Linked DNA regions of Schizosaccharomyces pombe. The protein of the gene in region 3 purifies or fractionates together with the protein of the main gene of each other region. This does not show direct contact. Each region holds a gene or a part of one and is shown on either strand. Other genes may lie near its edges.

What was found.
Region 1: the proteins of lea1 (region 3) and cip2 purify together in Schizosaccharomyces pombe (affinity purification with mass spectrometry, with the first as the bait; one large-scale study listed by BioGRID). This does not show direct contact.
Region 2: the proteins of lea1 (region 3) and prp45 purify together in Schizosaccharomyces pombe (affinity purification with western blotting; one large-scale study listed by BioGRID). This does not show direct contact.

What each region holds. Positions count from the first base shown.
Region 1 is NC_003424.3:343,041-346,798, forward strand, and holds the start of cip2 (RNA-binding protein Cip2), read right to left. Parts: upstream 2,132-3,758; 5' UTR 2,090-2,131; coding exon 359-2,089; 3' UTR 1-358. Other genes in the region: efg1 (rRNA-processing protein), read right to left, coding at 2,799-3,011, 3,074-3,204, 3,267-3,399, 3,504-3,578. UniProt on the Schizosaccharomyces pombe protein: Regulates global gene expression after oxidative stress. Interacts and stabilizes mRNAs and may regulate their transition between different cytoplasmic components after oxidative stress.
Region 2 is NC_003421.2:1,500,535-1,504,292, forward strand, and holds the start of prp45 (Prp19 complex subunit Prp45), read left to right. Parts: upstream 1-2,108; 5' UTR 2,109-2,157; coding exon 2,158-2,186; exon of another isoform or gene 2,187-2,229; coding exon 2,230-3,758. Other genes in the region: SPOM_SPCC188.14 (uncharacterized protein), read right to left, coding at 437-676. UniProt on the Schizosaccharomyces pombe protein: Involved in pre-mRNA splicing.
Region 3 is NC_003423.3:4,144,785-4,148,196, forward strand, and holds lea1 (U2 snRNP-associated protein Lea1), read right to left. Parts: upstream 1,487-3,412; 5' UTR 1,280-1,486; coding exon 1,199-1,279; intron 1,138-1,198; coding exon 505-1,137; 3' UTR 501-504; downstream 1-500. Other genes in the region: elc1 (elongin C), read left to right, coding at 1-5, 46-94, 138-271, 310-314; serine/threonine protein kinase Ppk22, read left to right, coding at 2,872-3,412.

The DNA.
Region 1 (3,758 bases), on a different chromosome or scaffold from region 3:
ATTTTATTCCTCTCAAAATAATCATAAACGTGACTTTGAAGAGAGAAAAATATCATCTATTAAATTAAATCCTTTTCGTTTTACAAGAATCACATTATAGTTTAAAAGCATGAGCCCGATCACATGCACATCCGAAGTGAGTATGTAAACGATATAAGCATGAAAATCATGTCCTCAATTGAACACTAGGTCGTAAAAATGGATAATTCATTGAGATAATTTCACTCGTCGTTTTTATGTACAAAGTATAAATTTGCTTGAAAGCGCTTATTATCGTAAGGTAAATGAAACTTAATAAAACCCGAGACATAGCCAAAACAAGATTAATCAAAAGCAGGGAAAAACAAAAAATCCAAGACTAATTCTTTGTAAAAGTTCTGGATCCAATAGCACCGGTGTTTGATGGAGTAAGGCTTGCAAAATAATCGTTCATCGCACTACCGTTTAAAGTATTTGATGAATTAGTCGCATTGCGATCCAGTGGAGAGGAAACATTTAAATTAGCAAAAGGAGTAGCAAGTTCTAACGGAGTAGCTGGCATACTACGTATGTCGGAAAAGGCTTTAGAATCATTTAGTCCTCTGAGAGAACGTATGCTATCCGCAAGATGCATAGAGGGAGCGGGTCGTCTAAGACTTGAAAAATTACTAGAAAGACCACCGGACGAGAAAAGACCATTGTCAAATAAACCAGAGGAGCTCAAGTGATTTGCAAGACTTGGTTGGCTCAAATTGGAAGCACCTAAAGAAGAAGGATTTAAAGTACTGGCGTTTGGGGCCATCAAAGGAGAGTGGTTAGCACTCGAATTATTAGCGGGAGTAAAATGAGTACTAGGCATGGTAATAACCACTTGCTTAGCTTCACCGTCACCAGTAACTGAATGATTGAGATTGAGACGGGAAGCTAATAAGGCAGCAACCCGACGTTCTTCCTGGGTGGTTGAAGAATCAAATACAAGATCATTAGTGTTATCGCTGCGATAATAAAATAACAAGATATGAGAATATACATTGAGTATAGCTGGATCATTCAAATCAAAATCAATGCCAGCACCTATATTGGCAACAGAAAACGGAGATTTCAATTGATTTTTTCGTTCTTCTACAGCGCGTTTCTCTTGTTTACCACGCTCAACACGTTCACGCTCCGCAGGCGGTAGTTGACGCTTCCATTCAACACGAAGACGACGACCAGTAATTTCATAGCCATTCAAAACTTGCACAACCGTTTTGGCTTCCTCTGGAGAATGGAAATTAGCAAAGGCAAGGCCCCTAAAAACTCCGTTATCAAAATGATAATTAAAAGCGTATGGACGTGGGATGTCTAATGCAGTGAACACTTTAAACAACACTTCTTTCTTCAAGGAGAATGGAATATTTTTAATAACAATCGCGGTAGGAATGGTCTCTTCATCAGGTTCAGGGGGTGCCGTCAAAGTTACAGAGTTGCTCATACCTCTAGACAGAGCAGTGCTAGAAGCTGAGTTTGGTACATGTGAATGGGATGGTTCGTTGAATGCATTTAAACTATCAAAAGGGTATGTTGTTGAGGAAAGTAATGAGGTAGTAGCAGGTCCAGAATTTTTGAGTACATCTAAAGCACTTGCAGACCGGAGAGAAAGGCCTGCTGAATTAGTTGCTTCTTTCCAAGCAGTTTGAAGACGAGTTCGACGAGGCTTTGCAGATGGATTATTGGCAGTTGAAATTTCAGGATCCAGCATTTGTTTAAGGGAACTTGGTAAAACCGTAGAAGAACCATCACCCAAACCATCATCTGCATTGTTGTGGGAAAATATGCCAGACCCTCCCATTCCAGCACTGTTAACGGCTGCATCAGAAAACGTAAACTTATCACGACCATATCGGTTCTCGAGATATCCTGATCCTCCAGGAATATTAAGACCTCTCATTTCTTCATCTTGAGCTCCATTTAATTCATCTAATTTGGGGAAAAAGTTGGACCGTTTTCTACGCAGAGATGCAGCCTCAGAATGGAAAGTTAAAGGGGAAGAAGCAGGAGAAAGAGTATTAGTTGACAAAAATGCCTGCGACAAAGGCGTTAATGGCCTTTGGCTTGTGCCCTCAGCCATATCGACACTAAACAAGTCGTAACTTCGTGTGGTGCGGAGGTTAGGTATCCGTGGACACCACCAAGGGCGCAAAGTCAATATACTACACCATATTATTGAGGTCTTAAACCCATAAATTCAAATATACCAATCTATAGAAGCAAATGTAAAAATAATTATTATAAAATGTATATACTACATACTGGTGTTGATTTTTAAACCCCCACTAGGTAACTTTTTGCCAGGCAAATAACAGGGTACTGTGATGATAAAACCGAAAGTCCATCTAAGAGCTCTTAAAAACACTGCTGCAATGATAAAGACTATTAAACTGTCTAATAATTCGACCACCTAAAACAGAACAAAATGAAAGTCCTAATTTTTTGTTTTTACTTAAATTCTTGTAAATTTATATTTTTATTAATTTGATATTCCATGAAATATCATTCGAATTTTAGCATATTAGATTATAGAATGAAATATGTGAAAAATATCTTCAGTGAACCTTAGGATCCAAAAGCTTCTCTCCCACAAGTTCTATTTTTGGTACCCTAGCAAATCCCATTGCAATATGACATAGAAAAAATTTAAATAAACTTGCATAAAAAGAATACCTTGCTCGATAACTCATATGGAAACTTCACAACCTTTATTAAAAAGAATGAATCATATTATTACAGTTTCGTCTATTTAATCCCTTTATTTCCAAAACCTCAATCCAAGTTTTCATTTATCTTTGCAAAAATTCATCTTCCAAATCACCACCAGTTGAACTTTTTTCCTGTACAGGAACCCTGTTGGAACCTGAAGATGGTATTTTGTGTTTTCTGCCACTATTAAAGCGTTCTTCCATCTCGGCCCAAATGCGATTTCGAGTTTCTTCGGTCTGTTCAGATGTGCCTTCTGCGTAGAGTGAAACATACTTTGTTAAAGGGGGGTATTCCTAAATAGGTTAGTATCTTAGCCAAGTTGATAGTTGAAATGAAGTCGAAAATACAAACATACTTTAATATACATAAGATCAATTTGACATTTACGCATCGATTTCTCACACTGCTTGCGTTTCTCATCATCCATAGTTTCATCCTTCAAAGATTTTTCCAATTGTTTAATACGTCGTTCTGCTTTTTTACGTTCTGAGAAAATCAGTAAGCAAGTTCACTGAACAAAAAATGCTGTTTTTATATATGTTTCATACCAAAAAATCGAACTTTTTTGTATCTTTCAAAAATCTTTTGCTTTTTATGCTCTAACTGTGCCATAGACAACTGCTCTTGTAGACCCAAAAGAGCTCGTTCATGTTCAACACGAATGTTTGCAGGCAAATTCTCCTTAAAGGAAGTTAGTTTTCTTATTCATTAACATAAAAAGGAAGGTAATATTTATTACACACTGAAACCGCAGATGTTTTTAAACCAGCAAAAAAATTACACACCTTTTTCAATAATCTCTCATTGTCGCGAATTTTTTTCTTCAGCACAGAAAGTCCAGGGCCCTTAAATTTTGGCATGCTAAAACGCTCAATAAAATAGATAAATAGAAATTCAAACCATAAACAATTAGTTCTGGTGAAGAACAGTAGTAAACTTAAAGGACTGCAATTTTTACAGCTGCTAGGTTCTCAAGTGACACGTTACTTTTATATATAAGTTTAAGCTGGTAATTATGATTAAAATATTTGATTCACTCA
Region 2 (3,758 bases), on a different chromosome or scaffold from region 3:
ACAAGGAAGAGGAGGAGGTTTGAGATATAGTCCGCTTAGCAAGTCCAATTGATACACGAGGTTCACTAAGAACCACCGTAAAAATGCTTAAAAAAAGGAAGACTAGAGTGGAAAAACGAAAAGAAAACATGAACGACTTAGATTATTAACAAATTAAACGCGGGCTTTGTAAGATTTGAAATGAGTGACTAGAAAAGAGGGACTAGGCGGAATTAAAAAAAAACAAAAATAAAAAAACTTCAAAAATTAAGTAGTCCGCCTCTCGCATCAGATAGTTTTCGCTCAAAAATTGGAAACCAAATATTGTACAGAACAAACGCAGAAAGTCAAAAAGAAGTAGAGACGAAACCTGATTCAATCGAATAACACAGGCTGGTCTTATCGATCAAATTAAACGAAACCGCTCTCTATATGACAACTTTAACCGTGAGAGCAGTCAAAGTACGTTTCTTCTACGAGTGTTTCTTATTGAAAGTATAAAGTATTCTGGGTAAACAGCAAACTGTGGGATGAATAACCAGCATCGTGAAAGTGGCCAGTTTGGGGAGTTTTTCATAAACTTAGCGTATATGCCGGTAACCATGTTATAAACAGGCACATTACTTGACGGGAAATCGTTCCACGAGTCCCCAAGTGAAAGAAATGTAAATATAATAAGCGAAATTGTCGTGGGCATCAGTACTATACAAAAGTTGAGGTTTTAGCTCAGACAACTTTTTACCTACTAAACCAAACCTGGTTATGAGCAACAGACCCTTATTATAACATTAGCAATCAACAACAAAAATTTTTATAGTATTGATTTTTGATATCTTGCGTTCGTTCCGCTTTATCGGAAAGACTTTGGCAATTTTACCGATTCTCTAGAATCATGTAAAGTGACGAAAACAGAAGGCAGAAAGTCCAACCAAATATGGGCAAAAAAAACAACCACTTCAATAAATTGTTCCAGTTAACAGCAGTTTAGTTGTGTTCAAGTCAATTACCAGCGTTTCGCGTGAAACGTTACAGAAGTGTAAATAATGAAATACTGTTGCTTTCTCTTTGACTCTCATTCTTACACAAGGTCACTTTGCATAGTAGACCGTTGAAAAAGTAAAAAGGAATAGAGGAGAAAACAAGATTTGATTAATTTTTAACCACACCCAACGTATCCGCAAAATCTCATTGATTCAGTAACATTGACTATATGGTTCTTTCGGTAAGTTTGACTCGTTATTAAATAAAAAAAATAGAGGCAAATTGTTTGAATTATGTTTGCTATCAAATGATATCCATTGAGTTAAAAAGTACGCGATTTGATAGTCTCATGAAGACACACATAAAGAGAGAAAAATCCATCAACTCCACTTAAATTTAAAAAAAGGTGAGGTACATATAGAAACTTTAGTACAATTCGTATTGATCGCCTAAATCAATATTTTTGAAGTATTGAAAGTTCAAACATGCCTTACAGCTCATTTCTCATTACTTTGTAAGGTAGCTGGCTAATGACAACTATATATAGGCATTGAGCCATAAGTATGCTAACTTTCACTATTCATCGCTTGGCAAATCTTTTTCTTTATTAAATGTATCTCCTATAAACGTGGCACTACTTTTTTGAAAGTTATAAAGCACGTTGGGAGCTAATTTCAACTTTATAAACTTCGCAAAAAGTGAAAGAAAACACAAAGGTATAGATAGTTACAAGCCGCATTGCTAAGTTGATCTGATAATTCTTAACATCTAACGTAATCGAGTGTGTCGGAATAGTATTTATGAAAACTGTGAGATATCCCACTGAAAATGATTTATGTTGTCAAAAGCATCGTTAATACACTTAAGAATTACGCATTTCCTCGTGTGCCTTATTCGCAATAATTCTACTGTGTTGCTCACACTAATGCTAACAAGTACGGAATCCTAACTTAGGTGACCTAGCGTAATACTAGCTTCATTTACCAGTTGTTGTAATGCGTGCATTGATTTTCTTTCATACATTCTTGCAAGTAAATTTCCAAGTAATTTGAGGATTTATTTATTAAATTATTTCTCAAAGCTGCGAGAGCTTTTGGATTCATTCGAACAGAATTCATATGTCCATTATATCCATACAACTCGTACTCAACACCACTTCACACATCTGAGTGGAAAGTTGTTTATTATTTTCCAAAAATGGCCCTTTTATCCGAAGAACTTTCTAGGTAAACTTATATTTTTTTCTCAAATTCACTAACAACGCCGCAGTATACTTCCAAATCCTGATTTCGACGATGAAGAGGAAGATTATGTGGAGAGGGAAACATCACATGCAGATGAAAGACAAATTGGTGTCAAATTTCACATTCCTCCCTATGGACAAAGAAAGGGATGGTTTCCTTCTTCACCTGAAGACTTTGGCGATGGTGGAGCTTTTCCCGAAATCCATGTAGCACAATATCCTTTGGATATGGGCAGAAAAAGGTCAGCTAAATCTGCTGGTAATACATTGGCTCTACAGGTCACTTCTTCGGGCGCTGTTGACTATAATGCCATTGCTCGACAAGGTCACGAACATGGAGAGTTGGTACAGGCAAGCTTTCGAGATTTGATCCCCTTACGTGCACGACTAGGTGTGGGAGAAATTTCGTTAGAGAAACCGTCTGACGAGCAAAAGCAAGAAGTAGCGAATAAAACTAAGCTTGCCTTACAAAAAATACTTTCCAAACAAATCGCTCAGTCTCAACCTAAAAGTGCTGTGGTACAACAACGTGACGATCCTGTATACATTCGATATACTCCTAGCAATCAAATGGGACAAGCACTTAGCAAACAGAGGATTATCAAAATGGTCACAGCTGAACAGGATCCCATGGAACCACCAAAATTCCGTCACAAAAAGGTTCCTCGTGGACCACCTTCTCCTCCTCCTCCCGTCTTGCATTCTCCTCCACGAAAAGTTTCTGCTCAAGAACAACAAGATTGGCAAATACCTCCGAGTATTTCTAATTGGAAAAATCCGAAAGGCTACACTATTCCATTGGATAAGCGGCTGGCCGCTGATGGTCGTGGTCTTAATGATGTTGAAATCAACGATGGATTTGCCAAATTTTCTGAAGCATTGTACACGGTGGAGCGTCAAGCTCGTGAAGAGGTCCGATATCGTGCCATAATGCGCCAAAAGATGGCTGAAAAGGAAAAGCAGGAAAAGGAGCAACGTTTATTTATGCTTGCTCAAAAAGCAAGGGAAGATCGTATGGGTAGAAATGCGGCTTCTTCGGGTCCTTCACATGCAAAACCCCGCTCTACTTCTGTCTCCTCTGAAGAAAGAAGTCGTTCCAGAGCTGGATCGTTCTCGCATCATTCAGAGTCAGAAAATGAAGATGAGGATTCAGAAGCTTTTCGCCGTCGTCAAGAACTTCGCCGCGAGCGAAGACGCCAAGCTGAAAAGGATCTTCGTCTCAGTCGAATGGGTGCTGAAAAACGTGCTAAGCTTGCTGAAAAAGATCGACCTCGTGATGTCGCTGAAAGGGTTGCTTTAGGACTTTCAAAACCATCAATGTCAAGCGATACAATGATCGATAGTAGATTATTTAATCAGGCTTCTGGCTTAGGATCCGGATTTCAAGACGAAGACAGTTACAATGTGTATGATAAACCGTGGCGGGCGGCACCTTCATCAACGTTATATAGACCGGGTGCTACTTTGTCCCGTCAAGTTGATGCATCTGCAGAATTGGAACGTATTACTAGTGAAAGTCGTTATGATGTACTAGGAAATGCGCATAAAAAGTTCA
Region 3 (3,412 bases):
CGAAGGTTTGATAATGATATTTAGTAAAGTAATTCTAATGTATAGGAATATTTTCTGAGGCGCAAAAAAATGAATGCACATTTCCTGATATACGGTATGCAATTGGTCTATTCATTCAATTCTAATAAGGTGTCTAGGGCAACACTGTTGGAAAAAGTTTGTGAATATTTGCATTACAATTACAGATATAAAAATCAATTAGATATTCCAAAGTTCGATATCCCACCTGAGATGGTTTTAGAATTATTGGTCACTGCGGAATATTTGGAAGGTAAGATTATCATTACTATTTAAAGCTAATGAATACAGCATAATTCTGATTACTCACGAGGAACGAAAGGATTGCTAAATTGCTACAGCATTAAAGAATTGACGGTTTTTGTTTACGATTAACGATTTGATGCCTTAAATAACTATTAAACGCGTTACCTATCGAATGCAAGAAATGAGATGGAAAAAATGTATTATATAACTATGCGGTTTCTAGAAATCTTGTGAGTTACTTTATTTTGGAATTTTCCCCTCTAATAGCATAGCTTCCAGTCGATTTATCTCAGCAATGGAAGAGGCATTTTTAATGGCTTCTTTGATCTTTTCTCTTTCCTCAGGTGTAAGTGTATATCCAGTTGTAATAGGAGAATTCGCTTCTGGGTGGCTTTGTACCAATGCAGCCAAATCAAATACTCGACTTTTCACACCCATAATAGAGGAAGCTATTTCTGTAGGGTTTTGAATTTGACCAAACACTTCTTCAGCACGAAGCCTTTCATTTCTTCTAACCCGTTCGAAATCTAAAATATGTAACGAAGGAATTCTCCATATAAGATATAATCTATAATATTGTTTTTGAGCAACTGGATTGTCAATGCACGACAAATTAGTGAGTTGAGGACAACTAGCCAACGGATCTAAATCTGCTATTTCTTGAAGATGATTTTGTGCTAGGGATAAAGTCTTTAAATTCGGAAGAACTTTACCTATGTCTGGGGCTATAGCAGTTATTCGGTTATTTCCACACAAAAGCGTTTGAAGCCTTTTCATACGAGGGAAATTCCCTAAATATCGAATGTCATTGTCTGTGAAATCAATTGCATCGTGTACGTCCCTTAACACTCCTAAATTTTCAATTATTGGAATCTGATACCCTGTAATTATGAGTTAGCTGGATGACACGTAGCATACAGTAATTTCTTTAAACATATCTTAAATCAAGCTCAGTTTCTTTCAAAGGACTGATGAATGAGGGTACCTGAGACAAAAATTCAGCATTAAGACGCATGAAATTTTTGTAATGAAAATGCCTTTTTTATGCTGTTACTGCAGTATGATTTAAAATTCCTAAAAAATTATCCAAAACGCTCACAATCCTAAATTTCACTATTGTTTATTCAAAAAATGTTATAGTTAACGTTTTAGAATCTAATAATGTAAAGTTAATTATGTAAAAACCAAGAATATGACACGTCAAGAGAAGAAGCAAAGTGGTAGAGTTTGGATAGTAAGCACATAAATAAATACAAAGAAATCTTGACTCAATAAGCAAAAAATACTCACTTTTTCTACTTTTTAGATTTAAAAAAAACAAATTATGCGTAATTATACTTTGATAATTGACTGACGACTTCCATGTTCAAGAATCGGCTTTCGTACTAGAAAATTCTTGGGAAAACAGAGAATAAATGATTTTTGTATATGTGTGTTTTGACACCTTTAAATAAAACATTTTTTCATTGTTGTCAAATATATATCTTAAGTTTGTCAGAAATTGGTACACACTCTTTTATCTGTTGAGCTCTCAAAAACAAACACAAGCAATCGACTATTTGGATGAAACACACATTGTTTTCCACTCAAAGTTTTAGTTCAACTCATCTATAATGTTCATACTGCCTCCCTATTTGACTTCGTGAGCACAAACCGCCAACGAAAGTTTGAAACCAGGTTATTTACAATTATTCAGAGTTGCTTAAGGAACCTGTTTTCCTATTAAAAAATTGCATTGAGATACTTACTAAACTGCTATATCTTTTTGTTTTCTCATTTAATGAAAAACATTCCAAAAACAATATTGACATCAAGTCGTTTTTTAATGTAACAGTTTTAATGAATTCTTCAGATTGTTTCTATCGTATTGCTCTATCTCAATGAAAGCACTGCTAAGAAATTATATTTAAATTGATATGACAGCTTCTAATATCGAATCAACTATCCATCCTCATACTAATACCACATGAGTCGGACTAATTGAAAATGCCAGCGATATCGACAAATGTACATCGACATTTCGGATAATGTTTGGGTTTAGAGTAGCCTCTTTTGTAGTTGAAAGTGGAAGAAATACATGATTAAATGTTGTGCTTCCATAGCTCGTGTACTTATAAATCATACAGTCACTCTTGAGAATATGAAATTAAAAATCACTGCATTTATTCTAACACTTATTCTGTTCCAGTAAGAATTATTCAAACTGAATTTACTACAAAACTACAGATCAATACCCACACATAAAAACCAAAAACAAGTTTTTTCTTTTATTTACAATAGCTTCAACTAAGTATTTTGAAGCTGCTTGTTAGTTAATGCTACAATATGACTGTTTATTTCTATATGCTTAAAAAGAGGATTATATAACATAAGGATGGCCGTGGCTCCACTAACTATTCTTTTGCCGACACCTCCAAATGAAACAAGAATTAATATAAGCAGGAGGAATACCATTCGGCTAGTTATATTAGACTATTTGGGAGCTTTGAAGTCGTTTTTCAAGTTTGCTTACATTCTGATTTATATTAGGTATTATAAGTGAGCCGTCAGCGAAATTTATTAACCGGTGAATGTTTGAAGCGCTACGAGATTAATGGATGACTTAGAATGGCTCGAGAAACTGAATTTAATGACAAAAGTCCCTCTTCCACCGATGATGGTATGAGCCAGTCGCACTTTTCAGATAAACTGAAAAATTTGTTTCACTTTCGTAGGAATCGAGCGGCAACCGTTTCTACTAGTGTCCGAAATGATCAGAGGGATAATGATTCTGATGACTCAACCTTTGATATTAATGTTAATCAATTGAATGAATTAGATCTGAATGATAGTAGCGATCAATTGGATAGTCGTCCCAGCCTTAGACGCGTATCTTCCGCACCTGATTCTCACAAAGGAGTAGAAGCGCCTCCTCCTCGTCCTTTAATTAATATGAGCAATATTCGAAAGGCACAGGTCAAGATTTTAAAAAACCCCGGCAACTACATTTTTGGAAGAACTGAGTACGGCAAACGAACTTATTCTGGGAATAGTACAAAAATTAGCCGAGTAGAAGTCACACCTCATAGTTTTGAAAAAATACGTCTTCTTGGTCAGGGTGATGTGGGTAAAGTGTATCTTGTTCGCCAAAAAAGCAACCATCGGCTCT